Linked DNA regions of Lepisosteus oculatus. Each later gene encodes a partner of the first gene's protein in a complex. Links are inferred from orthologs where the notes say so. Each region holds a gene or a part of one and is shown in the gene's direction. Other genes may lie near its edges.

Region 1 (7,973 bases):
TGTTAGAGATAAATTCCAATGTACAGTACACAACACCAGCTGTCTCCCATGGTGTTGAAAACAATCACAAATATTCAATAGCTTTTTACTACTTTGCTGTCCATATTCCTCTTGAAAATATCATACATATTGCTTGGCTATTTTAGTTCCCAAAAGGTAAGATTTAAATTGAATGGTAAATTAAGGTGGACAAACAGTAACTGAGTACTACGACCGCCTATCATACAATAAATTACATATCATAAAAGCACGGTAAAAACACATACAGTACTTCAAAGCACAATTGACACACAGATTCTGCAAGTAAATGATCTGTAAATCAACAGATCTGTAACTCTGTCTAAAACCTTCATTTAAATTTATGCACATTAAATTCAAGTTAATGTCATGGAATATCCTCCATGGGTAGGTAGGAGTGTGCAGGTGAAAAGGTTAGTTTTTCAACATGGTGAAACTCCTTCGCACAAAGTCAGACTAAACCTTAATTACTTAACTCAGGAAGAAGAACAGGTTTTGAAAGCGATCAGCCGGTTATACCAGTCTATCCCCCACTGAGATATGATGAGTCTGGCTTGACGGGAGAATGAAATGGGTATACAAGTATGCTTTGAGAGATGATTATAACTGAATAGACAAAAGTAGAAGATACATTGCTGGTACACTGTAAGAAACATTTATTGGACAATATTAGCAGCTCGGATTGCTGACAAGGTGGGGAGGGGTGGTGGGGTATTTTAATAAGAAACATTTGAAGTAAATACTAGAAAAATGTATCCTATTTCCTCCGTGGTATTTTATTTGGAATGGGTCAAAAATAACACACATAATATACCGTATATAAATACAGTATGCATATTTATGCAAGCACAGAAGCTAGAATAATGTTCATGCTTAGCGATCAGAAAATGCAAATGTCACCTACTTGTTTACCTATGCACCAGAGCTTTTCTAAAGCACGGCGTCGTGTGCTATTAATAACAGTATGTAAATCTAAAGTTTGTTTTCAGTAATTTGTCAAGCTTAGTGTATTTATTTTGGATGAAAAACTATAAATAGTAAATTATTTTGCTCAGTAATCCCAGGTCTTCATGAAATGTCTGTTAACATTATCCTTTATGGGCTTTGTCTGGTGTTGATTTTTCATTTGTACAGTATGTAAATAGTGAATGTGAAGCACTATTTGCACAGGTCCTGCTCTAATATTTTGAAGATTGTTATGTTAAAGAAATTCATGATACGGCATTTGATTGGAAGTGGAACTACTGGCAGGATGGTGGAAATGTGTCAGCAGGGAGCAGGGAAGAGATGGGAGCATACATCTCCCAACATGCAAGGTTTCATGGCCCAAGCTTTAGCAAGCAGAGCCACATCATATTAAATTCATGATCCAGGCAGTTTACGATGTCCAACTTAGTCCTTCTAGTCTGTAATGTTCAACAATATGCCCATTGTGCCAAGGACAAGGGATGCTGGAGCACATCCTAAACCCTTGGAGAAGGACACTATCGATGTCGTCGCGGCCAGGTGCAGAAGGCCTTAGCCGACACTATTAGCAGGGGTGTCAACAGCAATCAGCATCAGAGCCATTTAGCAGCCACATCCGCTGTCCAAAGTATCAGCAGGTCTCCTGGCAACGGTGGGAGATTGGCAGCTGAAGGTCAACCTAGGGAGCATAGTGACCAAACATAGCTAAGCATTGTATTGCAGGTGGTCATGCTAGAGCTACGAGCTAGTTTCCTTGGGAGACAGGATGGAGGAGGCCAGTTAACGGAAAAGAGCCAAATACGAAGACCTCCGTGTCTTATGAAGAAGATATGAAGATATTCATAACTATGAAGAAGCCAAGAATTTGCTTCTTAAATTTCAGTTTTGTTTTTTATATTCTCTCTCCAAATATCCAAATACGCAAATCAGATCACCTCGGTGCTTGTGTGACCAATAAGGTCCTCATCATTGCAGCACGTTATCCTAAGTCTACAGGATATAACTTGCAGAAAAGACTCAAGTTTAAAAAATTTCAAGTAGGTACTGTAGCTGTGTCAGCATGCGTAGGCTGCAAAGGAACAAGTAAAGGTTTATTGCATGCTGAAAAGAGAAGAAAGAAAACACAATGTTTCGCCTCACACGCGAAGACGACTTCAAAGCCTAAACGTTTTTCCTTTCACGTTTAAAGAAGCTCCCTCTGTTGACCAAAAAATAAACATGAAAAATAAGAACAGTAAATGTTCATTTACTAGTCAGCATCCAACAGCAATTGTGAATGTGTAATATTCTAATATTCTTTGTTAATTAAACATGCAAAATTATTTTTCGTGATATTCTCTTATCGAACACGAATTATGCAAAGAAATGTTTCCTCTTTAATAGTTTGAGCTACTGTACATCAAAACACAGGACATTTCCTGCCCCCTTGTGGCTTTAACTGGTATAGTTTAAGAACTAACTTTCTTGGTTCTTTTGGTTCCCAATTTGCTGGATCAAATTTTCTTTCCTTTACACAGTTATTGTAATTTAATTTGCAATTAATTTCACGAATAAAATAATTTTATGGCAATCAATGATTTTTCGGTAAGTGTGATAAGAGGATTTTTCATCTGAAAACGAGTTACTACTCCCCGGTGCCAGAATTGGGTCTTGGGGTAAGTTTCTTTTGAAAAGACCATTACAGTTCAATCTGTGTGATTACCTTAGGAAGGGGGGCAAATAATATTAAAAGGTCAGTAAGTTAATAGTGATCAGTTTACTCAACGTGTGTGTAGTTACTATATAAAGTAATATATTCACTCTTAAAAGCACATTTCCTTAACTTATTAAGAGAAAAAAGCTAATCGCTTACACAAATAAGTAACTGTAATGGATTAATTGTTAAAGAAATTTTCCTCAACATATGTTAAAGCAAGTAAATGGAGCGGCGTAGCTGGTGGATTTCCCGAGAGCCTACACAGTTAGGGAAGTGTTGTGTCTCTGCTATCTGCGCCCTGTTCTTTAAAGCAAAATTTAGTTGAGAAGCAAAAAACAATTGCGAGTAGTACAGGTAGAAACCTGCACCTTACTGTTTCTCCACCACTTGCTAGAGTGCTGTAACAGCGCTATCAACAGTATCGTCTGCTTTGTCAGGAACCCTAGGTAGTAGAAACCTGTCTGGGATGACGTCGTAAAGCTTGAGTCCACAGATAGCTGGTCATGTGCGAGTGGGGCCGAGAAACTGAAGGGGCTGAAATTAATCTACAGCACTTGAAGATATTTCCACAAAATGTAACGAAGCTGAAAGAGGTGTGGGTGTTTATCCAATCCTCTGATAACGGCAGGACCAATAACCTTTACGTCTGCGTACCCTGGCTTTAGATGAAGATATTTGTGCATTGAAAGCCCTATTAAGCAGCACTGACACGCAAGACTTTTTGCCATTGCGAAGTATCTCATTTTATTTCCCTGGGCATTGTGCTGAAGGCCATACTGTACATGGACGGGAAACAATCCATTTTTGGTGATACAGGTGTATTGTATGTATTGTACCCTAGTCATTCTCTATTCTTAGTCTCTTCAAGCAAGAATTAACACTCACATTTCTTCCATTCTAATTTATTACAAGACAGAAGCACTTTTTTTTCCTCAAGCAATATTACTTCCCAGTCACATCTCCTAGTTTAGTGTGGCTCATGAGCTCATAAAAGTTTGAGAAAATGAACTGTTCTGGAAAAAACGTTCCCTATGTACTAAAAGAAGGTGCTTCTTAAATTATTATTAAGGATAACATGAAGTGCGTGATCCTCAAAGTTTCATGGAGATGCTTATTTCACTCGAAAACACTGATCTTAAAAAGCCGAAGAATTAAAAAAAAAACAATCAGAAAAAATAACACTAAGTGAATTCATATTCCCATAACACTGGAATTAAAGTTGTAGACTGTGCTTCGTATCTTCAAAATACAGTAAAGGATACGCTTCTTAAAAATGATAAACACTGAATTGCTACAGCTTCAATTAAAAACTTCTCTAATTTGACATCATGTAAAACATACAGGAATCTGTTGCACAGTTCTTAATTGCTGTTATTACTAATTAAAGTAGATGTCAGTGCAATCCAATCTCAGACCTACAGTATTTGACACTTTCCATCTTAATCATAAAAAAAATAAAGAAGATATATGGGAACATACACATAAAGTACTCAACGTTTCAGTTTTTAAAGTTGAGTTTCAGGCAACAGACTCACAATGCAAAAGCTTTTGGCCATGCCTCTTATTCTTTTTGAAGGCCTACAATATGTGATTCACATAGGATTAGAGCATTTTTATCCAAAATTACCTGGGACTGTTGGTTAATCTTGATTGTCTCTGGCTACAGGCATCTCCTTCACAGGTTTATACATCGTTATTCGGTTGTCCAAACAATCTAATATCCTTTTATATTCAATAGTTACACCGGACAGACGCATCATATGGACTACTGCTGTACATTCAATTTTAGGCGAATTAGCTGGTTTCATGGAGTACAATTGGGTTTGCAACGCTATTTCTAATTAATATTATAATATATGAATTAATATTACAAAATTATTTATATAAAATGAACCAATTCATTTTTTTCAGTGATTGTATAATAATCTCATTCAGTTATACATTTTAAAGCGCTAGGTAAATGACTCTTTCATATTGCGTTTACGCTACCACTTTCTCAGTAAAATCTGTCAATAACTCAACTACACATTTCTTAGTACTTCAAAACTATTGAATACTGTACATTCCTCCTCCCTCCCTTTTCGACGCTCAATAAATACATGTTCCAGTATTTTCTGTAATCTGCACTGCTGTGGAAAAGGGCTTCACTCGCCCAACTGCTAAAAGACATTATTGATGGTCGATTGCACCAATCCGTCGCCGAGGTAAGCGGTACTTCCTGTCGTAATAACCAATCAGAAAACCCCTAATTGGAAAATCTCAACCCAAGGTTGTCAGCAAACGAGAGGGGGAGGGGAAATTTTAATGGTAGTCAATGTGGACATACCTTTCTAAACCTGAATTTATTTTGATTCGTAGTTTGTTTCTACTTCCTTAAGGTAAATTGACTTGATCTTTTTTGTACTTGGTTGTCCATTATTACAGTCTTTTGTACGTGTAAGTAATGTGTTATTTTGCGTAAGAGCGACGGGTGACAAGAAGTAGCTTTTCTGAACTTATTATTGATTTTTCTGCGAAGTTGACAGCATGTTGACCGGCTTCTGAAAGAAATGTAAAAGTTGTTTGTTTTCCGTAATACGTACAGTATGTTAGTAAATCGGTAGTGACCCTAAGCGTACGAACTTTTCTTTTATTTAGAGGAGGTAGTTAGCAGAAGCGCTGCGGAAGTCTAACTCAGCCAGTACAGTCATGGGAAGCCATGATCCGCTCAGCGGCTTTTCCAAAATAACAGGTATTTAGAAAAAAAGGCAGTACTGTAAGTGTGTGAAACACTTATTTGTCTTTTAAATAGTCTTGTAATGGCGATCGTCGAAGCAGGATCATCGCGTTGCTTTTGACGGGACCGTGGTCAAGTTTATAAGCGAAGTTTGTCAGAAATGAAAAGTCGAGGCCTGCGAACAAAGTGTATTTTTTAATGTACTTAGCTCAGTCAGGAAGTGGAAATAACAGACATGTTGATCGTCTTCATCACGGCGTGCTGGAGTATGTTCCGCCACTGTCAATCAATCGAACAGAAATGAAAGAATGGGACTGCGTATTTTACGTTATTCTTTTCTTAAAAATAAAAAAAATGTATCTTTTGGAAATTAATGATTTCCAGTATAGTTCGTAAACGCAGCCAGAACAACAGTTAGGGTTGTAATCTAGTGAAAGAAAAATACAAACAGCTATTAACGGCAAATAATCACAAAACGTAGTATATGGAAAAACTAATGTATATTGAGAGTTAACGTGACTTATTCGGCGTTTGTGCCGTAGGATCAATGCAAACAGTTGGACAGCTGCCAAGTTTTTGTATCACCCTTAGTCCTATTTACAATGTATTTCACGATCAACGTGTTATTGTTTAAATGTTTCCTTTACCTGTTTACGCTTGGATTGACATGTTCAGCTGCACGCCTAAAAGGGCACTATTTCGCTATCAAGCTTGCTGGGTTGGAGAAGAGGCGTGACACTCAGTTGTCCACATGAATAGCTTATTGTCATGTAAATCAGAGCACGCTTCCCATCTCTGTGGTACACGGGTGGCTTATGACCTCTGGGTGATGGCTTTGGTGTAAACCTGACGATCCCCCTCCTGCTATCAAAAACAAAACCGGATTAATGAAAATTTTTCCAGGGCGTTCAAAGATAAGAATTAAAATTGCCATCTGTAAAACCCTCGTTATCAGTCTTGGTACTGGAAAACCTGTGTGTTTGCTGACTCCAGTTCCAGCTGTGCTGGTAATTACCAGTGCTAATTGCTATCAGAATTGCTCTGCTTGAAGACTTAGGCTTTTTTTCTGAAGTCAGGCCTTAGTTTAAGAACAAAACCTAGTACAGTTGTTTTCAGGCTTCATCTTGAGTAACCCCTGTGTTATCTGGTTTTGCTTTAGCTAGGTTAATAATGACAGGTTATTTAATTTCATTTTTCTGTTTGAGGTTTTTTTTTTAATTGGCTTTCAGCTCTTAAATAGCCGAGATTTGTAATTAGCACGAGCCCTGTCCTAATTAGTGAGTTTTAGCACTGTCCTCTTTCAGGTCCGTTATCTGAAATATAAGCCATTGGATTTAAACAGAAGGGAAAACATATACTGTGGGAATTGTGTGATACCATAACATTAAGGGCTGTTTAGTCAGAAATAAAGAGAGTAATTGCTTAACAGGCAAGTTGAGGAGAGGCTACATGAAGTTCTGTATGTGGAAGGCATTTCCGCATGATTAATGCACATTAATTAGGGTGTTTTTGAAAAGACAGCCTGAGTGCAGAAATAAAGTCGAGAGCAGAAAGCAGATTAGTTACAGGCACCTCTAACAAGTCAGTAAGGTCTAAGAGGGAACAGAAGCCTACAGAGAAAGGGATACTTCAGGACCGGGACTCAGAACCATTTGCTATAGAGCAGGGGCCCAGTGGCTGGAGGGTTAGTGTGTCTGCAGGTTTTCAAGGTTTTTTTAAAGCAGCAGCATCCCCTGAGGAGCAGGAGAAACTGTTGAATTGGTCCAGTTAAGCCAGTAATCAGCTGGTTTAATTGTCAGTCAGAATGCAGACCTGCCGATACTTCTGATGACCTGTACTGGATGTCACTGGTGTAGAATGAAACCGGTTTCCAGTTGCATTTGTTTTAAATTATATAGATGGTCATATAACAGAGTAGTGTGCATTTTATGTGTCATAACAGTTTTTATTCTAATATTGATAAGTAATTGCATTATTATTTTTCTAAATAACAGCATGCAATGTTTCATACATGTTAGGGTTTCTCTCTACTATATTCAGAGACTGGTATATGGCTGGATAAATCCAACCAAATTCCAGTCTTTTTGAATTTGGATGACTTTTGATTTTGTGTTCATTGTGGTCACATTTCCTGTCAGTTTTCATGCTGTTAATGCTGTGCTGTAAGCATGTTAAGATACTGCAAAAAACAAACAAACTTGTACGCAGACGCTGTTAAGTTTTTTTAACGCATTAAAAAGTAAGTTGTGACAATATTTCTCGGCTGCTTGATGTACATAACTGTGTTAATTTTTGTGTTGTAGTTATACTAGTTACATATGAATTTTACATCTAGTCGCAAAATGTCGTGAGAGGGCCATTGATAATCATTTCTTCTTTATTATTTTTTATACTTAGACCATTTAACTTTTGTGCTTTTATATACAGTTGCTTCAGTTTGTATTTGTACACCCCCCAATTGTAATATTACTGAATAGCCACTGTAAAGATGTAGGAGCACCTATGAAGCTCATGATAAAACAAAAAAAATGTTTTCTGATTTTCATTTGAAGAGTATATATACAGCGGACATATGGC
Region 2 (7,568 bases), on another chromosome or scaffold:
CCCCCAATCTCAGTGCTGAATAGACCCAACCCTTCTGAAACCTAATGGTAACAGTCTAGAAGTTGCTAAGCCTTCTGTGAACGAGCATTGCATAACTGTCTCAAAACTGGGGTTTGGGTTCAGTTCCGGACTTGGGGAGCAATCTGCCTCAGTTTGTATGTTTGCTGGTTCATGTTTCCTCCTAGAGCCCAAAGACATACTGGTTGGCTAACTGGCTTCTGGGAAAATTGGCCCTGGTGTGAGTGTGAGTGTGTCTGTTTGTGTCTGTGTGTGGCCCTGCGATGGACTGGTGTCTTGTCCAGTGTATACCCTGCCTTGCGCGCCCTGTTTGTCGAACTAGGCTCCAGCTTTCCCGCTCAACCGTGAACTGGATAGAAAATGGCGAGATGGTTCAGAATATAAATGCCTGGAAAAAAATAGGGATTGTTGGAAAACTGTTCAATCGGTTTATGACAATATTTCAGCAGTTACTCTCCACTGCCCTCTGGCATTTGAGATAACAGCTACATTGATGTACCTAAGGTTCATAAACACAGAAGGCACAATCTTGTAGAAACATTCCAAAGAGTCTTTGTACTCTGTGGAATCCTTCTGTGATATAATTACAGAAATAGAGACCTTTCCTCTGGAGTAATTAAAGTTTTGGTTACTGAGAAAAGTGCATGGAACATCTTTAATTGTACTTTAATGTATACAAAGTTGAAAGCCAGCTTTAGAAAATGCTTTCTGTCTGCACTTAAAAAGACAGTACTTTATCATGAGCTAAACAGTTTCTTTATTCTCTGCCATTTCCTTCCAAACAAATCTGCACTTGTTAAAAACATAATTGACTACATTATATGTTATAAAATGTAAATATGAAAAAACATATTTCGAAGTAGGACTAGTTTACTGTAAGATCAAGCATTTGTTGATGTCCCCCACCATAAAAATCAAACAACAACAAACATGTTACATTTCCAGCCCCATTTTGAGACTATAGTAAAACACAGTCTTACAAAATGTAGAGAGACTGTTAATAAAAGCCAGAATGAGGGTTGCATCTTTTAATGAGACTCCTGCTGGAAAGAATTTACCAGCAAAGAGATTTAAAGTCAAAGATATTATTGTCTAGTCATCAGGCTCCCTGAGAAATGCTATCTCTCCCTTTTTGAGCAAACAAGGTTTATATCATAAACATGACAGTGTATGCTCTCTTGTAATTTGCGTAGGCCTTTTTGAACCTATTTTTGTCTGAAACGGTCAGGGCCCAGAGCTTTAGGCCTTCCTTGTTTCTAATCAGTTCCAGTACTTTGAAAGTTCTGCCGTCTATTTTGTTCCCTTTATATGTGTTTTGCAAGCAGTTCATTTTTCATTTCCAAATTTCCATCAAATGGGAGATTGTATCAGCATTTGTCTGGAATCAGATTGTATGCGTTTGAACACCCGTGCTCTGAAATGTATGAGTGTAATTAACTTCTGAAAGCAATTATTTCATTTTTGCTAATATTGAATGCTCTGGACATAACAGGAAGAATGCAAGCAACCTACTCCTTGTCTGTTTGTTCTGTTGTCTATATCAAGGTCAATTTCAAATTATGGACAGAATCCCTTTCTTCTTTCCACAGTTTTGTACTATTATCGTTGACCTCCAGCAGCATCACTACCTTCTGAACCACAAACAACTAGGAGACCTAGTTTATTTTTAAAACGATTGACTTTGGCCCAAAGCCACAGTTCTTAGTCTTAAAGCGATTTTAAACAAAGCAAAACAGAAGCATAAAAAACTCAGATAAAATAAGCATTTCCAGATGCTCCCTCATTAATCCTGGGGATAAGTGACATAAACCATGTCTTTAATCTTTCATATATCCGTTGTGGTGTGGCTCTTTTTTATATATTAGGTATACAATAATTGTAAACTCTTATTGGTTAAGCCATTTCATCTAAAGCCATTCATACCTGAAGGTTCAGTTAAAAAGAACACTATAAAATGTAAATTTACACCAGCTGGCAGTTATTACTGCTCTATTGTAGCTATTTCTGAGTTAGTCATTAACAGAAATCCTTTGATTATTGATTAATCTTTTGCAGTATCTGTAATTACATATATTGAGGATATCCCTTTTGCAAGCCAGCACAACACTTTTTCCACCTAAGGGTACTGTAAATTGTGTCACATCCTATAAACGAATATCTTTACTTACATCTAGATGTGTCTTTCTGTCTAAGTGGATACCTCTACACCCTTACTGCTAGAGTCAACAAAATAATTTACAGAGTAATGGAAATATGGCTAAAATCTATTTTCTCAGTCAAAGAACTGCAGAGTTTATATAAAAATAGCAAAGTATCCAAAATAACTGACCCCATTACTCATGAGTCTCTGAGAACCAGAACTATAAGCATAGCATATGAGCAACAATATAAGAAGGTTCATTTCCCTCTTTCCAGACACTCATGTTGCAGAGGTCCAAGGCTACCTATATATTATTCTCCAAGCATACAAAACATGAATGCACAGTAATGGAGATCAAAGATCTTTTCGTAGCTTAAAACAGCCGTATAGATGCTGTTTCATTTTGTACTGACTCTGGTTGAGATAATTAATGTGTCTGCCCCCAGACTGTTCCTTATCTTGTTTCCTCTGTGAAAATGTAAGACAAGGCTCACAGCAAGCAGAAGGGACAGAGTTCCTCTGCAGGACGATGTTATGCTCCGTCAGAAATGGAATTGATGGTTCCACGGTTTCGAGAAACTGTGAGACAAGTCCTGCCAAGAGTGAAGACCAAGTTGACACTGAGCAAAAAAAGTGTCTTTGGACACAGCAGTTCTTTATTTTTCTTTCATACGAAATTCCTGTTTTTGTTGGCCTGCCAATATCCTCACTTTTCCAAAGAAATTATTTATATCCAAATCCTATATTAATTTTGTGCTTCCCCTGACAAAAAGTGGATTGCTAACATTAATTAAGGAGTCTGTTCACTGCAGCTGTAAGACATGGGGCATAACTTACACTGGCCTGTGCTTTTGGAGCCTTGTCTCATTTTCCAGTTCACGCAGTGCAGAAAAATTACAGAATGATGAAAGAAACCTGGAGTGCTCCAAAGTACAAGACAAGTGCTCTGATGTATCATTTCTGATCTCAGAGGAAAGCAAATACCTGTGGAAAACTAAAGGAAATGAAAGTCGCTAAATTGTCAAGATTTACTGATCACTTGCTGAATTGAAAGGAAATATAGCTCATACTGTACCTTTTTCATGAGCTTCATCACCATTTTTCTTCTTTATTCTCCCCAAAATAGCAGGGGTATGACTGAATGAGGACGCTGGTGTATCAGTTTTATAAGGGAAACTACAAATTTCATTTTAATACCCATAAATGTGAAAATGTCCTACTGAACATTTGTAAGACTACAAAACTATATTCTGTATTAAAAGTGCTATCTTTGGTGTCTTATGCTTTATGTATGTAGCTTTAGACATTTGACATTGTTAGTAAAAAAAAACCCTCTTTTAATTTCAATCCCTCGTGTTCTCAACTGTCTATAAAAAAGTATAATTACACAAATTACTGCGGAGCATTACAATAAAATTGAAATTGAACTCAATAATCCAAATTATTGTCATCCTTTCAGTCTAAACTGCTTTTAATGCTCAAAACCGCAGCTATCCTTAGAGCAAAAAGAGCCAGGAACTCTGTGCCTTTAACAAATCTACATTTAGCTCATTTAAGGAATTAACAGATGTTGGCTTGTACAACTGGGGCAATGGAAGTTTTCTTAGTTTGACTAGGATACAAGGTGGTGGTTTTCAATGGTTTATCAGGGTCGGAGAGGTAAAAAGGACCGAGTTTCCCATTGCAGTTTCCTGCCACAGTCCAATAACATACTAGTAGGTTAATTGGTTTCTAGGAAAACTGCCCCTAGTGTGTCTAATGCTGTCTGGTTCTGCCCAGGACTGGTGTCCTGTCCAGGGTGTATCCTGTCTTGCGCCTATTGCTTGCTGGGACAGGTTCCGGCTCTCCTGTTACCTTGAATTCAATGAAGTTGTTAGAAAATGTATTAGTATTAGCAAGTAGGGCAGTGGGAAATGCAGGATGTACTTGCACCCAAATTATAAAGCTGTTGCCCACATCACAAGCTGTTTTACTATGCATTGTTTCCAGACGCATGGAGTGTTTGAATACAAAGCAAACAGTTTGTGTTTGGCATGAACATTGTTTTCATTAAGAAGAAATTTTCAGAAAGCCCACGGTATTTAGATGTCAGAGGTCTACGCGAGGCTGAGCCTTCAATGCACTGCGCTAACGATTCGCTCCTGTTGGTGGCGCTACAGCAAGAACAGGAGACACCCGTTTCCACTGACTTTTTAACAACGCATGCGCGGATCGCTTGCTGTAATAGTCGCATGCGCATTGTGGTGCTTTTGTTACAGCCAAGATGGCGTTAAGTAAAACGTTTGGGCAGAAGCCGGTGAAATTTCAACTTGAAGAAGATGGGGAATTTTACATGATTGGTTCAGAGGTATGTATTTTATTAACGGGGTGTTCTTGAATCGGGTTCTGTAATCCTTTTGCTTCTAGCGTTTTTTAGAGCTGTGATATTAGTGTTTAAAGTCAACCTGGGGTACGGTTTCATTGTGTTTTGCTGTCTGGGCTTACTGAATGAACTGGCTTAGTTGGGTAAGCGCTATTTCTATTTCTCTTCAATTCAGAAAATTGAACTAAAACGATCTTGTTTTTAAAATAACTCACACTATTATGGTAGCATTTGATTAGTGTTGTGAGCAAATGTTCCTAAATTAATTAGAAAGGGCGTATTGGTTCTCGTAAAGTCAACAAGAAACACCATACGGTCACCTAGATGCTGAAGATAATGATAGAATCCACTTTATCTGGCAATGTCTTCGTAAACATTTTTCTCCAGCACGTTTTTCATTACCAGTATCTCGGATGTCACATATGTCAAACTGACAAATGCAGATTTACACGAATTTGAATGTCTTATTAATATAGTCATTTATTGGAAATGGGTTTTCTTGTTTGAGTAGAATTTACAAAGATTATAAACTAGATGAGGTCATTCGGTTAACCTGGCGTTTTCGAATGGTAATCGATCCGCGATGATCATTTTTTCAGTTTTAAATGCCTGGGTAACCATATAGTTTCTGCTTAAATTGTTTGGGCTGATTTTGTCAAAGTACAGTTACTTAGATACTTAAAGTAATCTTTTCTGTTAAAGACAAAATAGTGAAGTTCTTGAACTTGTCAGTGTAAGACATTCCTTAATTCTGAAAATATAGTATGTGGTTGTATGACATGTTATTGGTTGGCTTATATATTTAATTGGCAACGAAATAGAGGTGTTAGTAACTAGAGGTGTTTGTAAGTATTTATTCATAATTTCCAGTTAATCATAGAAAGTCATGTTCAATGTTAACATCTAACCCGCTGAGAAAAAATCAAATTATTGTATTTCCTCAGGTTCATCTACTTTAAGGGACACTGCTATTTGACTCTTTGGTTTCGTTTCCTAGGTAGGAAACTACTTGCGGATGTTCAGAGGCTCACTGTACAAGAGGTACCCTTCACTGTGGCGGAGGCTGGCTTCTGTTGAGGAGAGGAAGAAAATTGTAGCATCATCACACGGTGAGTGTCAAGTCTTTATCACTTTCAAGTACTCCTGTTGCCCAATAGCAGCATTATTATCAGCGATGATAATTTACCAATAAGTTCAAGAAGTGTGAGTCGCAATCACTTTAATGATCAGAAACATTCTCCCCAGAGCTAGTAAATCCGAAAGTTCTACTTTTGGACAGCAGTATCTTCAGTGTTTTCTTTGTGTTAGATCACGGTTACACAACTTTAGCCACCAGTGTGACTCTGCTGAAAGCATCTGAAGTTGAGGAGATCTTGGAAGGAAACGATGAGAAGTACAAGGCAGTCTCCATCAGCACTGAGCCACCTGCCTACCTCAGGTAATGTTACAAAGCACAACTTGGTAATTACTGCGATTCAGTGGTGAATCCAAAAATGTCATGCAGGTTTATGAATTAGATCAACAGAAAATCAGTCTGGAGCATCCATACCAGTGCAGCACAAATCATTTCAAATTAAGCATGTCCCATCTTGTATCATTTATCATCTTGCGATTCCATGAAGAATGCATGAAACCTCCTTAGTCTGGATCAATTAAAGTGTGCAGTGCTAAATGAGATTTCATATATATGCAAATGATGTAATGTTTTGGAATTTTTAACATCATGTTGTTATTTAATGTTATTTTTTATTACCAGAACTTGAGTTGCTTAACCAGTAAAAGTGCTTTCTTGGAGCGCAGGTTAAGCAGCGGTTACTAAGATTTCATAGGTGGCAGAGCTGCCGTGCTGCCAGGGGCCTTTCGATGCAGCGGTGACGTCTGTGATTTGTTTTTGCGGTGACATTGGTGAGAACGGCGCCACTCATCGGTGCAGTGCTAGATCTCACCAGGCACTGGGCACTTGAACGTGTTGGGAGGGTCATATCCGTCACGAGCTCCTGAGCCGGAGCAGGAACCATTGTCAGAGAATCAAGCCTTAAAACTAATGGGGGGGTTACAGATTCAGCGGGTGCACAATAAAAAAGGGCAATTGCCCTTTTCATAATGACCAAATGACACTCAGTATGTCCAGGTAAAATATATTTTATATCGTTGTAATCCTCCGCGAAAGCTCTAGGTTCTTTTTCTCACATGTTCTGCCCAGGGAGCAGAAGGCGAAGCGGAACAGCCAGTGGGTGCCCACGCTCCCCAACAGCTCCCACCACCTGGACGCTGTGCCCTGCTCCACCACCATCAACCGCAATCGCATGGGCCGGGACAAGAAGAGGACCTTCCCGCTTTGGTGAGTCCGGAGAATCGGCTGGAGCTCGGCGGCTTTAAGACCACTGCGTGCAACAGCCACCCAACTCCCTACCCCGACCCCCCGCCTTCATCATGATAGATCGCCACCCTTCATAGTTCATACTGTATTATCTCAGTCCCAAGCCTCTCCATTTCATAAGACTGAATCACCATCCCTTACCAGTTCACACTGTACCTGTTATCAGAGGACGTTAACACTCATGTTCACCACAGAGTCCTGGCATATGATTCATTCATTTTACACCCATTACAGGTTCATTATTTCAACCCATAATGCCTTAAATACAATAACAAATAAATCAGTTCTCAGTTTCCTGCATGTTCTATGACTCAGTGTTTTAAAATAGTAGTACTATTATTACTAGTATTACTATTAGTAATAAAGAATAACAAACCTAAATCATTTTGCTGGAATTTCAGTGCTTATTTACAGTCCCGTTTAACAGGAGAGGAGATATTTCTTCAGGTTGTGCTTGAACACATGCTTTTTACAAAAAAAATTTCACTAAAGATGTACTGGAACTCTGATGTATGGCAATGTAAGTGTAGTAACTGAACAAATCAAATGTCACAAAAAACATAACATAATATTAGTATAAAAATAAAACAATTCCGGGTTGAAATTGGTTTTTTGTTAGTATCTCCTCTTTGAAACTTCTAATGTTGAATTGAGCTGTGGGAAGGAAT
Region 3 (7,873 bases), on another chromosome or scaffold:
TTCCAAATGAGTACCGGGGGTTAATCCTTCTGCGGGTAAGAGGCCAGCTGGAGTGTGATGCTGACCACCTCACCTCCATTTCCAATGTCAGATGGTCAAGGAAAATGGTGGCCCTTGCACCTCATTCCCCATGGGTCTTTATGGCCTGAAAAGGGACCTACCTACTGTACCTTAGATTATTGGGGCTCAGAGTGGAATTCAGCCAGGACATCTGGGCTGACACCCCAGTTATTTTGTAAAGTGCCATGCGGTTTTTAACAACCAGATAGTCAGGACCTGGGTTTTACATGCCATCCAAAGGACAGGAGCTCCTACAGCACAGTGTCACTTTGCACAATACAAGAACATGACTGCTGTTTGTTGTCGTAGTGAGGACCAGGAGCTGTGGCTTTGTTTTGTGGCGCACACGACAGGAAGAGAGAGTTCACTCTTGAGTTGCTAGAAAGAAGACCTTCATGTGCTTAAACAACAAGAGCACTGCTTTTGTCACAAGATGCTCTTCAGGCTTTTGAAAACCATGGAAGGCTGAGAACAGATGAATAAAATCACCTTTTTCTGAGACTTTATGGAGATCTTGTCTCTCGCACACCCACACCAGCATTTCTCCAGCTCCTCTCTGAAGTGCAGAAAAGATCTAATTTGCACACTAAAGCTTTTATATAGTTACACATTATGTCATTTCCAAGTACTTAATTTGTAATCTGGGTCCCCAGTGGAATTTCCTGTGCCAGTTGTGACACCTGGTTTTTCTTTTTTACTTATGGTGAAGTTTGTCTTGTGTTATGAGTTTGTAAACCAAAAAATGTATACGGTACAAACTATCGCTGCCATCTGGAGGCCAGATCTTGGTACTGTAGAACGTGAACCTCCTGTCCCAAGGTGACTTGCAGTGACAACCTCCTAATTCCACCCACCAGGGGTCTTCGGTTATTCTCACTGGATGCTCTTTTTTAAGTCACTGGGAGATCTTCAGGCGATTGCATGGTTCTTGCTGTGTATGCATTATTTCATTTGTCAGGCAATGAATACACTTTATTAGTTTGTGTGGTGGGATTCTGAAAGAATATTGATCTGCTCCAATTAAAAGTAGTCTTAAGTATTTGTTGGATGTGAGGACATCAGACGTGATTCTTATGTTCTGACCATCAAGTAACACAGTCGCTTGGGCCTGTCTTCAGAATTATGATTAACTTCACTTAGACTTACAGCTCGGCAAGGGGAAGTTTTCTTTTTACACAGACTGAGGAGATTTGTCAGTCTCAAAGCTAGAGTGGAGTTTCTCAGTGTTTGCGTGGAAAACTATCAGTGAACCGACACTACCGAGTTCCTTTCCCAAGACACGGGGTCACCCGCAGCCCCGAGACTCCTGAGGAGCCTGGGCATGACCATTGTGAGAACAACTGTTGTGAAACAAAGAGACTTCAGATGAGGAAGTGTTCACAGGCATTCCAGCCAGCTGTGGGCTCAACATGCAGTCCACAGGGGACGCAGACTGTGATCATGTGCTCTTTTTTAGTCTGTGTACATCTCTATACATCTGTGTGCATCTTTGTGTCTCTGGTAGGGGTGTACATTTGTGCTTGTGTGTTTTGTTTGTATACAGTATGTGAATGTCTGTGTGCTCAGTCTTGGTGTGTGTATGTGAAAATAGTAACCTTTTCTTGAATTGGATATTCCTGGAAATGTTCCATGTTGTAATTATCCCATGACAGAAAACTTTCTTTTCCCAGATTGGACATTTGGCAGACATACGGTATGTAGTTACAGTATAGTACCCCTGAGTAGCAGTCTGTCAGCCAACACACTGTGCTACTCTTTTGTCACGAGGAGCTCAATATTATTTTCCATGAAATACTCAGTGTCTGGTGTGCATATATCACTGTATTAAATTAACATGTATTTGATAACATACTGCAGTTGGTATAGCCCATTACAATTCTCATCTGCAAATTGTTTTTCTTGCCTCTCTTATGAAGTAATATGGAAGTAAAGGGAACCTGTGTACAGTTACGTCTTATTTGCAGAATAAGGAGAAAGACAATAAGAAAGAGCAGTAGACTCTCATGCCAGTCCTGTGTAAAGCCAGCAGACAAACTGAGTGGGAAAAAATAGCTTGGGATCAACTGACAGTGAGTACCTGTCACAGAGGAATGTATTATTCCATAAAACTGTGGTGGTTTTAACAGGCTGCTGTCTTCACTGGTGTGAATTAAATTTATTGATAAGGAATGTATTTCCTGATGTCAAGCTGTTTAATGTATTGTAGTGAAAGGCTCTGTATAGTTAGAAAATAATCTACAGAAGAGTTGTACAGTATAACTGTGAGGCTGCCTTTCTAGTAAAATGTCTTACTACAACTGTTTAAGGGGAGACGGATCACAGATGTTAAAGTATTCAGGAAGTCAGGCATCGTGGGGCTGAACAAGGAGGAAGAAAATGTGGGAAATATAGACAAACCATAGATTGGGGGTTTGGGGAGGAGGAGAGTCAAACAACCTCTTACTTACAAAGCATTTTTAGTATGGGTAGATTACCTGTTTAAGATTTGCTGAAAGGCTTTAGCTCACTCAACCGAAACCTGAATCAGAGTTCTACGCTGCGGGAAGTGTATAGGAGGTTTTCTGAAACCATGCAGGAAAAAATGAGCCTGGCTCCGACACTACAGTTTAAACAGGGAAGTGACTGTCTGTGAGTAGAGCCTTGGAAATACAGTTGTCAAATTATTCAAGGGGAGATTATCCCCAGAATGAGTGGTAAGACATCCCTCAGACATCAGTCCGAGCCACAGTTAATGGGTCCTGACAGCTGTTCCCCCAGAATTGGAAATAGACAATGAGTTAGAAAACAGGTACTGCCAGTGAAGATAGCATATACTGAAGTAATTGTGGTCAGGCTGTTGCAGGGATTTAAAAGCATCTGTCATAATGTACTCTAATAACTTTAAAGTATATTGTAACCAACCATTCAATGTAAATTAAAAAATTCTGTAGATCCACAAATTTTATGTATATCTGTTGTGCTGGCGATGATTCCTAAGATCTTTGACGTTGGTGTTGTGCCCTTTATTAGGTCTATTAGGTCTTTTAGGTTTCAACTCATATATGGGATAAGTGTGAGAGAATGCAGGCTTCATGAACATTATACTTAAACCTTAGGCTATTAATGTAACCTGAAATGGTTAAGGGATACATTATAAACTTAAATTGCTTAATTTGCAATAACCGATTTCTTAACCATAAGAAATCATTGCCTCTGAACAGTTTTCTGTGTATAAAGAACAATTTGTTATTCAGCAGTGTCTGGTGAAGTTCAACTATGTTGCAATCTTCTCGTTTCGCTGAAACTGTATTCGAGGTATGAAGTTATTAATGCTACAGTATATCCTGTTCTGACCTGCTTGCCCCTGTACATCCCTTGGGGTTTTCTGAAAGGCTCAGCATCGCTGTTATTTCCACACTTTAACAACTAAGCACTAGTACTGGACTCTGGCTCATACGGAATGCTGCTTAGTAAATATTTCTGATTGTCATGGTTTTGTAGTATGTTTTTAATGTTCCCTTTCACTTACACTCACCTGTGCTCAGCTGTACCTACAGTATGCTCAAATCTTTTTTCTTAAATATTGTTCTTACTATAGTTTACTGCCCTCTCAGCTTGAAGTCACCATTTGATTACTCAATTGGCTTGCCAGTATGGACCCTGCACCCTCACAGGACTGCGGATGGTCACCTCTGATGCTCACTTGTAAGCCATGTGCCAAGCCAGTGAGTCACAACGCTTCGAGAGACAGTTGGCACCGGTTGACTGTCAGGACTGCAAACTCATGGGCAGGTCCCAGAGGCGGCAGCTGTTGACTTTTCATTGGCTCAAGACCATCCAGCAGTTGGAGTCTGACCAGTCATGAGCTAGTGCCGAGAAAATCCCAGTCCCGTTCAGATGGTTCTGGGCTTAATGCAGTGCTGTCTTGAAGACTGGACTCGGATGTCACATCGGGTTCATGGGTGTGAATCTTTCTGCAGGGGAGCATTTGAAGTACAGAAACTGCCAAACAGTTTCTGTTTCAGGTGGTTCTTTCGGCTCCCCTTTTTCCTGTAAGGTCCCAGCAGATCTGACACTTCTGGAAAACTAGAGATGGGTTTCCCTGCAGCATACAAGTGGAACTGTTCTAATTTAATTAGAAAATAAGACACTGAGATGTAGAGAACTGTACAGGATTGATTTGTCTATGTGGACATAAGAGCTTTATAAGACCTGGCTTTCTATGTTAAGTTCTTTGGACATGGCCGTACAGGGAATAAGAGTCCACATTTTGTTTCCTGTGATAATGAGGTTAAATGAAGTTTTCTTGGTTAAAAGCGCACCCCTTGCTAGCAGCTGAAACCCATGCTTAAGGTTTTGTTTCTTTGTTTCAATTTTTTTTAAATAGCTTCACTTCCATGTTTGATTTAAAGCAATCTGCTCAAGTTGGTTTGCTTTGTGTTTCAAAACGCACAAACTGAACATTTGGAAAGAGCTTTAAAAGCGTTTGAGAAGTCGAGATGCAAAATGAAAGCTGGGCCCTTTAAGCCTTCTTTCTCCTTTTTGAGAATGAAACCTTTCTCTTTGGTCAAGCTGTAGCTCTGCACATTTGTCATCAGTGATTGGCAAGGGGAATGGGTAACTGTAAAGCAAACTTTTCCAGCCAGTGCATAAACACCAGAGTGCAGCAGCCAGTCACACAGCATGCCCTTATCTACCAATGGAATGCAACAGCTGCGTGGGGGGCCCTGAGGGTGGGCCTGCCGGAACCCCCCTGTCAGACCCCCGCCCTCCCTCCACAGGCTTCTGAAATGCTGCTCAACTAAAAAGTGTGAGAGCCAGAGAGAGGGACTTGGCTTGGCTACACACTTAAAACACAGAGAACAAGAGAGGGAGAGAGGGGGAAAGAGAGAGAGAGGGAGTGGGAGAGAGTGTTCTGAAAGGCAGGAATAAAAAGGAAGAAAGTGAAGTAGGGGGGGTTGAGTTGGAAGGGAAAGAAAGAGAGCAAGAATAAGGAGGAAAACAAAAGAAAAAGGGGGCTACCAAATGGCTACAGAGGAGACTGCCGGGGGAGCCCGCAAAGCTACGAAAAGCAAACTGTTTGAGTTCCTCGTCCACGGTGTGGTGAGTAGGTGCTGGCTGGCTGGGGTAAGAGCTGGGTTGCTCTGTGTGTGCAAAGCTTGGCAGTCTGCATGCGTGAGATAGCTGGGAAAGCCGTGTGAAGGTTATTTCCAGCCTTGAGTCGCGTACCGTTTCTTTTTAAAGAAGAGAGGGGAGGGAGGGAGCTGTGGGGAAGCAGGGGAGGTGGGTTTTGTAGTCATTAAAAAGAGAAAGAGACGCTGCTCCTTGGTCGCTTCCAGAAGAGCATGTGGAGTGCCTACTGCGACTGGCCTCCACAACTTGAGTTCTGCTGCTGCACGCAGCACACCTGGACAACTGGGGAGCCCCCCTCAACCTTTTAACCAGTTTAGATGAGACCAGTTCAAGCCCCCTTAATGGTTCAGTCTGGGAAGTGCAGAGGAAGGTTTATTGCCTTGAGAGGCTTATCAGAGCAACAAAAGTGGGCACAAAAGCCTTGTGCTTTGTAAAGAGTAGGAAAGTTTAGGAACAATACAAGTGGAATGCTGGAACAAATGGACGTCAGCTCTTAAGATCTGGCAGTCTGGCATATTGTCTTTTTGTTTGTTTTTAAGAGAAAAAATAATAAACTGCGTGGGAGAAGGTCAGTATACAATATGCTGTAGTGTGCTACTGTATGCATACTGTGTCAGGATTCAGGAGCCGTGTCTTCTAAGAAAACATGCCTAGTATGTTCCAGATTGCCTGACAGATTTTGTACAAGATGAAAACTCTTTTGCTACAGTAAGAGGAACCTGCTTAGTGCAAACACTCATCCAGCAAGCCCAGCAAACAATGTTGAGCACACATTGACTTTATTTGTGGGCCACCTTGGTGCTTGTCTTAATTAATTATGATAAACAAAGTCTTGCAAAAATAAACGTTGGTTTCCACCATGCTGGACCTGAAGAGCAGGGCATCCCTGGAGCCAAAAAGATTTAGAGAAACTCTGAGTTTCTTACACTCAGATGTCTCCTGAATAACAAATCTGTTCTGCTGCAATAGAAGCAAATGAAATACAAACCGTCTGGCTGTCTGGTTAGAAGAATTTAGAGACAAATTAGAAATTAGAGGTGTATGTCTACAACTTGCTATTGGTTTCTGATGCAGTTCTTTGTTTGTTCTTCTTAGATTGTTCTGTGCTGTCATAAATATTTCATTACAAACAGGGTAACACCTGAAAGAGAAAATGAGGAGAGGAGGTACAGCATGTTAGGCTTACCCTAGATATAGACCACCTCATAGAGTTCTCAGCTTCGTGTGACACTAATCAGCCGCCTCTGTGCATATTCCCTGACACTGTAGTTTGAGAAGTCTCTTCAGATGCTATTTTTGCAAGAATAAGTAGTCAGTATGACACATGGTGTGTAACTTTTACTTTTTTATTTTGGAATCTCCAATTATTTTCTTATTTATATTCTCCTATGTGAAATTGACAGAAACCAATATCCATTGCCCTGGTTCAGCAGATTTTGGCAGGTACATTGGTTTCATTGAGGAGAAAGTAAGTGGATGCTTTTGACATCCAAGTGACAAACCTGGAGACCCTTGTCAGGATCTTGCCATCCCACTGTTTCAGGTTGTAATGCGTAATCTGAAACACCACATGTAAATCACACGGGAGATGATTAGTCGTCTCTGTGCCATTCTCAATTTGTGTTCTATCTCATTGATGCTGAGCCTTGGCAATACCAGTCACTCTGAAAAGATCAGGTTAGTTTTTTGCCGATGTAGGTCGTTTAACTCAGGCATTAGCCTTCTAATCAATGTCACCCGCTGCTTCTCTGGAAAAACCTGTTTTGAGTTTGAGAAAAGCTTTTTTGGGATATAATGTTAACTATTTTCAGTATGGTTGGGGATCAGTTTGCTAGTTCGGCGTGGTTAGCTAAATTGCTTGTTTAGAAATGGTTACATAAATGACACGTCACTAAGGGCAAGGAAGGTCAGTGCCTTTCCTTCAGCTTTCTCCATGGCATGCTTTCAGCCAGTATGCATGAGTAAATAGGACCTGTGCACTAAAATGAGTGAAGTCAGGTGAACCACTAACGGCATTGATGCCCCGTTCTTCTTTCTCACCTTTCACTGAATCTATATGTTTGGAAAACGCTTGTGCGACTCGATGGTAAGGAAAGACAGATCACATCGCTGCTTCTTGTCTTTTCATTGTGCTATAAAAGAATAGACAAAGTTTTGCCTGTGGAGCCCTCTTCAGGTTACAGCATTCCTTTTCCTTTCAGCACAGAATAAACCTTTACCTATTCCTTTGCAGCCTACGCATGCTATTCATAGTTGAGCTATCCATATTTTGCTTTGTCTACATTGACACACAAGTTGTTTATTTTAAAGTGTGACAGGGTCAATAGTGGGACTGCGTGTCACAAACAGCACGGAGGCACGCAGACATCGTTGCATTCCCATGCGCACCCGATCACTCACTAATAAACTTCAATCACCTTGTCTATTTAAACTTCCACTTTGCAACTGTGGAACATGCAGCTGTGGCCCCTCCAGTGGGTGTGATAGTGGCAGCCTGCCACATAGTTACAAATATTACGAGTTGGTCATCTTGTGTGTGGCACCATGTACATTCAGTTGACCTTGTGAACTTCAAAGATGAAACTTTTGAATCCAGACCCCTGTATTCATAACTTTTATCTTCGTTAAATTAAGCAAATCAAAGAAAAGACGAAAGTTAAAAAAACCAAAAAACCAAACCAAACCAAAATAAAATCTCTTC
Region 4 (8,085 bases), on another chromosome or scaffold:
TGTGTGTGTGTGCGTGTTTGTGTGTGTGTGTGTGTGCGTCGACACCCCTCCCCACTCAGGCACAGGTGTCCCCCTTGCTCTCAGACTCTCCTCTCCCAGTCGGTGCTCAGCTGAAATGGGGTGTGGGGGGAAATAAGGCAGACTGCACCCCACTGTCCAAATCTCTTTTCCCTGGGCCTCAGGATTCCACTATATAGGAAGTCAGAGACAGATCAGTGGCTCTGTGGCTCAGGATCTGAGCCTGTGGCCAGAGGGTTGCTGGTTCAAATCCTGTAGCTGGCAGAGGAATCCTATTCTGTTGCGCCCCTGAGCAACTGCTCCACAGGTGCTGTACAACGGCTGACCCTGAGGTGACCCCAAGCTGACCCCAGGCTTGTCTCTCTGTGTCTGTGTCTCATGGAGAGCAAGCTGGGGTGTGCGAAAAGATGAATTCCTGATGCAAGTAATTGTACAGGGCTAATAAAGTTATGTTATGAAGTCAGAAAAAAATAAAAGGCTGTTTAATAATGAGAGCTTTGTTAATATGGGAGTCGGCTGCCAAGGCCAACAAACTTAATTTCTTTAATAACTCATTGCAATTTTCGGGGAGTGGGCCGTCCTAGTCCTCCAGCGCCTCTGCTCTTGTTCCTCGCAGTTACCAAGGCAACCAACATCTGTGACGAACACTGGAGCTGGGTAACAAGCTGCAATAAAAAACTTCAAATTAAAGATGCGGATTTAACTTTCCTGTGAGCTGTCGATGATATTTCCTGAGGACACACGGCTTCTTAATTTATTGCCTCTTACCCAACTTGGGCCAACACCTGCAGGTTTTGTTAAATCGGCTCTAAGATAGACAATTTCTAGAAACTAATTTCACGCAATTAAGAAGATAAATCACTCCGAGGAGCAGTGGGAGTGTGACGCCCTGTGTGGAACAAAGTGTTTTCAACAAAGTAGTTGAACCAGCAGCTCAAAAGTATAGCTCATAGAGTAAACTGCAGTTACCTTAGTGAGGATTACTGAAGCCTGCACCTCACTCCAGAGATCAGTGGCCCTCTGGCGCCCCCTCTCAGCTAGGTTGAAGACGTACAGGTGCACCAGCTCTCCAGGGACAGCCCAGGTCTTATCAAAGGCAAGGACAGTCCACAGTAAGGGCACACAGTCAATACAGCCTGAACTGTAGTTTGAGAACTGGTAGTGTGGATCTGTTTAAGGGATTATAAGGCTCTACATTTAACATTTATTCTTTATCTACCTTAGGCAGGGAGTGGTGACCCTGTGGCTAAGGAACTGCGCCTGTGGCTGGAGGGTTGTAGGTTCAAATCCTGTAGTTGGCAGGGGAATCCTACTCTGTTGGGCCCCTGAGCAAGGCCCTTAACCCCAGCTGCTCCAGGGGTGCTGTATAGACGGCTGACCCTGCACTCTGACCCCAAACTTCTCTCTCCCCATCTGTGTGTCTCATGGAGAGCAAGCTGGGGTCTGCGAAAAGATAAATTCCTAATGCAATAAATTGTATACGGCCAATAAAGTGATCTGATCTAATCTCATGTTGCTGCAGAGAGAGAATGCTGTCGCATGTGGTGGTTAATTCTATGTTTTGTGCTTTTTGTGTCCCTCGGTGGCCTTGCTCAAGTCCTGTGTGTGTGTCTGTGTGCGTGTGTGTGCCTGTGTGCGTTGTAGGCAATACCGAAACCACAGAGAAGGTTCGCTGGCATGGCTCCAGAGGGAAAAATGATTAAAAACAATGTGTAGGAGAAACCCAAGACTGTACCTGTGGCAATTATTTCCACTGAGCAGTGCCAAACAATGTAGCCTAGACATCAGCATGCAGCCAGTATCGAGGGTGTGATCAGAGCACAGCCGTCTGTAAACAGACACCCGATTGAGCGAGCAGCCCTGTTCCCTCTCCCCTGGGGACACTGGGTGCTCCCCACTGGGGGTCACACATGCTCTCTGCTGCAGCTGGCATGAGCTCAGGCGGAGCAATCAGGCGGAGCTCAGGACTGTCCAGCATTGTGTGGACAGTGCAGCCCACAGACGAGAGGCTGGCTTGTTTTTTTGGTTTGGTTTTTCAATTGTTCTTAATATACAAACAAATGAGTTAGACCCTTATCAACAGTATGAGGTTGTGTGGTGTTAGGGGTCACATTAAATACTATGTTTATATGCTGAAAGATTTCTGTAAACCAATTAATTGAGCATATTTTTGATATGGAATAAGGAACCTGAGTATAGCTTAAAAGAATTAGAAAATTCTTTAAATCCCATAAGAGTTTTTTTTAGTCCACGCGTATGTATGTACAATTTTGCCAACATGAGAATGTCATTTAACACTATACAAACTTCTTTGTTTGAATCCAAAACACTAAGAACAATGTCCTTAAAAGTTAGATTTACACAAATATTACTATTATTTAACCAAGAACACACAGAGTACCAGAAAGCTGCTGAATGCTGACACGAGAAAAAAAATGTGATTAGTTGTTTCAAGATGGAATTCACCAAATGTACAGTACAGGTGTTACAGTCAAAGTGAAACCTTTTTTTTAGAAGTTCCTTAGAGGGATATACGTTGTTCAGTAATATACGTTGTTCAGCCTCTAGAGACAAGCCAGCGTCTGGGTTTTGACAGCATGGCTGAGTAGCCTGTTCCAGTCTCCCCCACAAGCACTTCACTGCAGTTCAGCTCCTTAGGTTTGTGTTTCACTGCTGTTTCCAGGCAGGCCCACAGGGTGGAAGGCCTCTGTGTATTTTGAAAGCTCGTATCAGGTTCCCTTATAGTCTTCTTTGTTCCAGACTTGAATGAACAGTGTTAAGGGTTGTGGCACAGAACAATGGGTTACGGCATTGGATTTGTAACTGGAAGGCAGTGGGGCTGAGCCCCTGGTGCAGACGTTCCTCTTGGGCCCTTCTGCACGGCTCCTTGTACCTGTGCCTGCAGACCACAAGGCTGTGTAATGATGTAACGTGTAATGTAATGTAAATAATGGTGTAACAACCAATGGTGATGCAACGATCAATAATCATGTAATGACCAATGATGATGTAATGCTCAATAATGATGTCATGACCGTTGATGGCATATGCTCTTCATCAGCTTAGTGCTGCTGAAAGTGGGAAGAGTTCTGGCCTGATGAACTTCTAAGCTGGAGGAATGGACATAACCAGTAATTACACTGCTGTTCAGGACTGTAGGGAGGCAGGCAGCGTGGGGATGTGGGCAGGTGGTTAAGGGCAAATCCAGTCAAATGTTCACTGAAACTCAGTGTGATTGTGCAGTGTGTGGCGCGGGGGTGCAATGTTCTTATTGATCAGCACCGGTACAACCCAGGCCACCATTCAGGATCTTGGCACTCCCATTGAGCTGCAGGTGCACAGTCTCTCTGAAGCGAGATTTCAGTCTGGGACAACCTGTCCTTTCTGGAAAGAAAAGGGAAGAAAAATGGGAAAAACCTGTTCCTTAGTGCTCCCACGGATAAGCGGACAATCAGCGTCAGAGCCGGAACAGGCTTCAGCGATGACTCATCAGGGGAGATCCTCAAACAGGAGGCAGTGAACAGACTACAGCACGTGGTAACATCTGGCAGGCTTGGAGACTCTGGTGTGCGAATCCAGCCTTAATGACCACTAGCCAAACAAAGGATCGATAATGGCCAATCACAGTTTAAATTTTTAATTTTGAAGCATGTTAGAATTTAATTGCTTAAAAGAACTGTATACAGTGTTGTAATACAGTTAATTAAAAAAAACTTGTTTCAGGTCTTTCCTCTGACCCTCTTATCTAATGTAAAGGTTCTTTTGAGGGACAAGAGACATTATTATTCATAATAATAATTGCTTACTTATATAGCGCTTTTCTGGACACTCCACTCAAAGCGCTTTACAGGTAATGGGGATCCCCTCCACCACCCCCAGTGTGCAGCCCCACCTGGATGATGCACCAGTACTCTAACCACACACCAGCTCTCAGTGGGGAGGAGAGCAGAGTGCTGAAGCCAGTTCAGAGATGGAGATTATTAGGAGGCCATGATTGGTAAGGGCCAATGGGAAATTTGGCCAGGACACTGAGGTAACACCCTACTCTTTTTAAGAAATGCCCTGGGATTTTTAATGACCACAGAAAGTTGGGAGCTCGGTTTTACGTCTCATCCAAAGGACATTATTGTTCATGATGGCCCCTAATTCCCTTCAGGAGTTTGATATATTTATCGTATATACTGACAGTGACGGTGGCTTTCACTGGGTAGGGCTTAGCAAATGAAAGGAAAAAACAACAGCACCTGAATTATAATAATAAACATTAGGACTCAACTGAATTTCTCTCTATATATACATCCTTTCATGTTTAAAGAAATCAAAATAGGAATGAAGACAGGACAATTTTTAAGATCACATTTTAACAACTGATTTCTAAAGGCAAAGACAGAAAATGATTTAAATGTTGTAGTGTTGACACACTCAGTCCCCTCTGAAATCCAGCACGCCGTGGCCTACGTGAAGCTTCAATTTTTTATTTTTCCAATCTCCCTTGTCCCCGGACCTGCAGTGTCACCCAGGTGAGGCAGGACAGTGCGGGATGACGTGAGACCCCTTCCAAGTGTACAGCGCCCTGCGACCCTTTAGAATGAGAAACCCTGCAGTAGAGCCCGTTCTTATTTTTAAGTATTATTAGCTAAGCATTTGAAAAAGCATTTGAAAAATTCTTCATTATCGATTTAAAAAAACAAAAATTCTCCAGTGTATTTCTCACACAATCCATAACATGGACTTCACGCAAATTCTATCTGAGAGTCAAGAGCGGCACTTTCGAAAAACAAAAGAACGTTAAATCAAAGCTCAGTTAGTATTGTCAAAAACATATATATATAATGAAATATAAAATACAAATTATTTTTCTTAGTCTTTTAATTAAGATTTTTTTTATTTAATTCGCCTCTCTCGCCCCTCGTAGATCTCCTACCTATCTCTCCGGGCCGGTTTGAAACAGCGAATCTCCCGAGTTTAATCGAAGGTTAGCGTGGGGGAGGCAGAGGAAGTGGTGCGAGCGAACAAAGGCTGTGTGGGGGTGAGTGTGTTTTAGGTTCATTTTCACCGTTTTCTACAAAATGTCCAAGTGAAAACTGGCCAGCAAGTGACCCAAAAGTAACCACATCCCAGGCGTTGTGCTGCTGTGCGTGACCATCGACATAGTTTGGCGTATTGGTTTATCTCCATCCCTGAGCCGCCGGAATGTCTGCCGCCATTCATTTGGTGTTGCTGCAGAACATCTGTCATCTTATGGCCTGTTGTTTAATTTGCTTTTAGTTTGATTTTTGTTTACTTGTTAGTATCCAGAGCCCTTTAGAGCCGGCGTTCATCCAAGATATTGTTTGTAGGGGTCAGGAAGATTAGTGTGCCGGTAGAACTCGAGGTTTTCTTTGTTATTGTGAGGCCTTGTGTGTACAGACAACGAGACGGGTCAGTGAGCAGATGTATACAAGCACAAGTCTCTTGAGCGGTGATATCCTCTTTGCAAGGAATGAGCTGTTCAGAGTAAGATCGGCACAGTGTGTTGTACAGTGCTGTGATGAACGTGTCGTTCTCTGGTGTAATAATAATAATTATTCAGGTGTTACTGACAGAACTGCATGTCTCTCTCGTGTTTGTGTTGTAAAGTCTGCTTTATCATATTTTCTTTGCTAGTGAGAGAAAAGCGCCTTTATTTATTGTATATGTATCTGGGCTGCTTTGAGGCTTTGAAATGTTGTAGTACTTTGCAACGAAACAGCTGCCACTGCACAGAACCGTGACTTGGCATCATTGGCGTCTCTAATCAGACTGGCAGGATTGGTTATCATGAGTAGCTCAATATCTCCGTATCCATACCAAACAGTTCAACATGCTGTATTATTTTCTTTTCCTTTTTTTGTTCTAAAAAGATTTATTTATTACAGAACCAATGACCGGAATAGCCTGATATCCTCCATCCATCATCCAAGATGTCAAGTAAGGAAAATTAAATTTCAGTTCATGTGGTTTGATTGTAGTATCAGAAGAGTACAGGTCTCCCTGTCGCCTCCAGTCTCCCCTCCCTGCTGGCCTTTCCAGGCTTGTCCAGAGCTCCAGTCCAGTTCAGAAACTCAGCATTTTCACTGAGCAGGCATTACTCTTGGCCCGCAGGAAAACGTTTTGCTTTTTCTGTCTAAGCAGGACGATGTGCTGTTTGCCAGAACACAAAATGGTAGAAATAAAATCCACATAAATTATTTTTGCCGTGTTCCAAGTTCAGCATTCACAGAGTAGTCCCGCGTTTACAAAAACACCATGGGTCTCTTAGAGCTTGTTTGTAAAAAACAGATTTTTAATTTTAAAATCCCCTTTAATTAATTTTGTTCTGTCCTTTGTCGTCCGTTGTTTTGCGGACAAAAAGAGACCAGGAAGAGTTCAAGAGGGGTGTAACCGGTTTATAAAAGATACTGACATTGAGAATCTAATCCTGTCTTCATGCTTAACCTTTAGTTTAAATGGGCTGTGCGTTAATTTAAAAAGTTTTAGGTGAGGCTGATTTCAGTGAGCAGAAAGGAGTGTTAAAGCTCAAGTGTGTTCTCAGCAATAAACAGACATTTACTTGGCATTGGGCTGACCAGAGACTGATTCCACTTGAAGGTTTTTTTAAAACTTTTTCTGAAGGTTGCTTTGCATTAAAAAAGCTAAATAGTGACCTTGATAGTTTTCTTCAGGAATTAATCTTTCCACTAAATGGGTGAAGAATTTCATAGATAATCCTATGAAGACTTTTCCCTGTGTGTTTTGTGTGTTATGCAGGTCAGCTCTTTGGGGAATATATCTTGTTTTTAAGGTGTGAGTAGGGGGTAGTAAATGAGGTATTTTTGTTAGGGTTGCATGTGCTAATTTCTGAAACACATGGGAAGGGATAAAGGTGATTTCTAGGAGAAAGCAGCTGCTTGAATGAATACTGATAGGCCTGGAAGGACAGAAGTGCCTGGCGGGGATCCCAGCCAGAGAATATATATAGGACTGCTTGGTTTAGCTGATCCGGCTTCAAAATCAGACAGTTTTTCCATTTATTGAGATCTGGACCTAGTCCTTTGCATCGTAGTACTGATAACTGCTCCCCAGTTCAACGGGCATGGTGCCTCTTCGGAGAGTTTCGGTGGGCTGCTTGTAGCTCTGCAGGGTGATCGGTGCTAATTCAAGCAACTCTGCAGCCAGCCGCAGTGTGGGGGGGAGCCAAATCGCCCTGGGGTGTGCCCCGGTTTGCCCCATCCCCACAGGTGCGTTGTGAGCAGTGCAGTAATGGCTCCGTGCAGCTCCGTGTGTCATTAATTTCTTTCCCCTTTTCTTTCATGCAGAAAGGCCATCCTATGCCCCTCCCCCTGCCCCAGCCCCCACCACAGTAAGTATTGCAGATGCAGCACAGAGACAGACGAGGCGGCTCCTTCACTGTGCAAGGGCCTCTGAACCTTATAACAGGCTGGGATCCGGCCTTTGAGTCCGTAAGAAATGTGTTCGAACATCTCAAAGAGATGCAGTCTTCTCCCTCGTTCCTCCATAAACCACTAACAGGAGGAGGTCCCTGCAGGGCTTGAATTTTCCACACTTCATGTGCTGGTGCTGCAGGGCCAGTGAACTGTCCCCTGCAGTTACTGTACTGTGGGTGAAGCGTTCAGCTTTCAAATGCCATTAGTCCTCAGCAGACACCAGTTATGTGTGACTGTAACTCTAAAGTAATGCCTTAGCTGTGGGTATGTTTCCTGTTTGGTTGTAAGCGAAGGTCGTCCTGACGCAAGGAGTGTCAATAATGCCAATGTAGATCACTACCATTGCTGCTTTGAAAAAAAAAATGGTTAGTTGCTTTTGCATGACTCCGTATGCAGACCATATTCTTTTTGTTTTTTGGTTCGTTTTTCTCCTTTTCATTCTTTTTTCCTCCCCTCTTTGTTTCTGTCATTTCTCATTCGTGTTTTTGTCTCATTTGTTTCCATCAGCAAATGCCCAACACCCCAGGGTTTGTGGGATACAACCCATACAGCCATCTGGCCTACAACAACTACAGGCTGGGAGGGAACCCAGGCAGCAACAGCCGGGTCACGGTAGGAGAAA

The links.
Region 2: smarca2 (region 1) and smarcb1b share a complex: the UniProt entries of both Homo sapiens proteins name them as parts of the BAF complex. The link is inferred for Lepisosteus oculatus from reciprocal best matches to the Homo sapiens genes SMARCA2 and SMARCB1.
Region 3: smarca2 (region 1) and smarcd3b share a complex: the UniProt entries of both Homo sapiens proteins name them as parts of the BAF complex. The link is inferred for Lepisosteus oculatus from reciprocal best matches to the Homo sapiens genes SMARCA2 and SMARCD3.
Region 4: smarca2 (region 1) and smarce1 share a complex: the UniProt entries of both Homo sapiens proteins name them as parts of the BAF complex. The link is inferred for Lepisosteus oculatus from reciprocal best matches to the Homo sapiens genes SMARCA2 and SMARCE1.

What each region holds. Positions count from the first base shown.
Region 1 is NC_090698.1:22,301,435-22,309,407, reverse strand, and holds the start of smarca2 (probable global transcription activator SNF2L2), read left to right. Parts: upstream 1-4,944; 5' UTR 4,945-5,058; intron 5,059-5,325; exon of another isoform or gene 5,326-5,411; intron 5,412-7,973. UniProt on the Homo sapiens protein: ATPase involved in transcriptional activation and repression of select genes by chromatin remodeling (alteration of DNA-nucleosome topology).
Region 2 is NC_090717.1:9,611,185-9,618,752, reverse strand, and holds the start of smarcb1b (SWI/SNF-related matrix-associated actin-dependent regulator of chromatin subfamily B member 1b), read left to right. Parts: upstream 1-4,390; 5' UTR 4,391-4,421; coding exon 4,422-4,505; intron 4,506-5,517; coding exon 5,518-5,629; intron 5,630-5,828; coding exon 5,829-5,958; intron 5,959-6,723; coding exon 6,724-6,861; intron 6,862-7,568.
Region 3 is NC_090701.1:29,339,773-29,347,645, reverse strand, and holds the start of smarcd3b (SWI/SNF-related matrix-associated actin-dependent regulator of chromatin subfamily D member 3b), read left to right. Parts: upstream 1-4,829; 5' UTR 4,830-5,064; coding exon 5,065-5,142; intron 5,143-7,873. UniProt on the Homo sapiens protein: Involved in transcriptional activation and repression of select genes by chromatin remodeling (alteration of DNA-nucleosome topology).
Region 4 is NC_090723.1:9,906,725-9,914,809, reverse strand, and holds the start of smarce1 (SWI/SNF-related matrix-associated actin-dependent regulator of chromatin subfamily E member 1), read left to right. Parts: upstream 1-4,957; 5' UTR 4,958-5,047; intron 5,048-5,915; 5' UTR 5,916-5,960; coding exon 5,961-5,967; intron 5,968-7,334; coding exon 7,335-7,378; intron 7,379-7,970; coding exon 7,971-8,075; intron 8,076-8,085. UniProt on the Homo sapiens protein: Involved in transcriptional activation and repression of select genes by chromatin remodeling (alteration of DNA-nucleosome topology).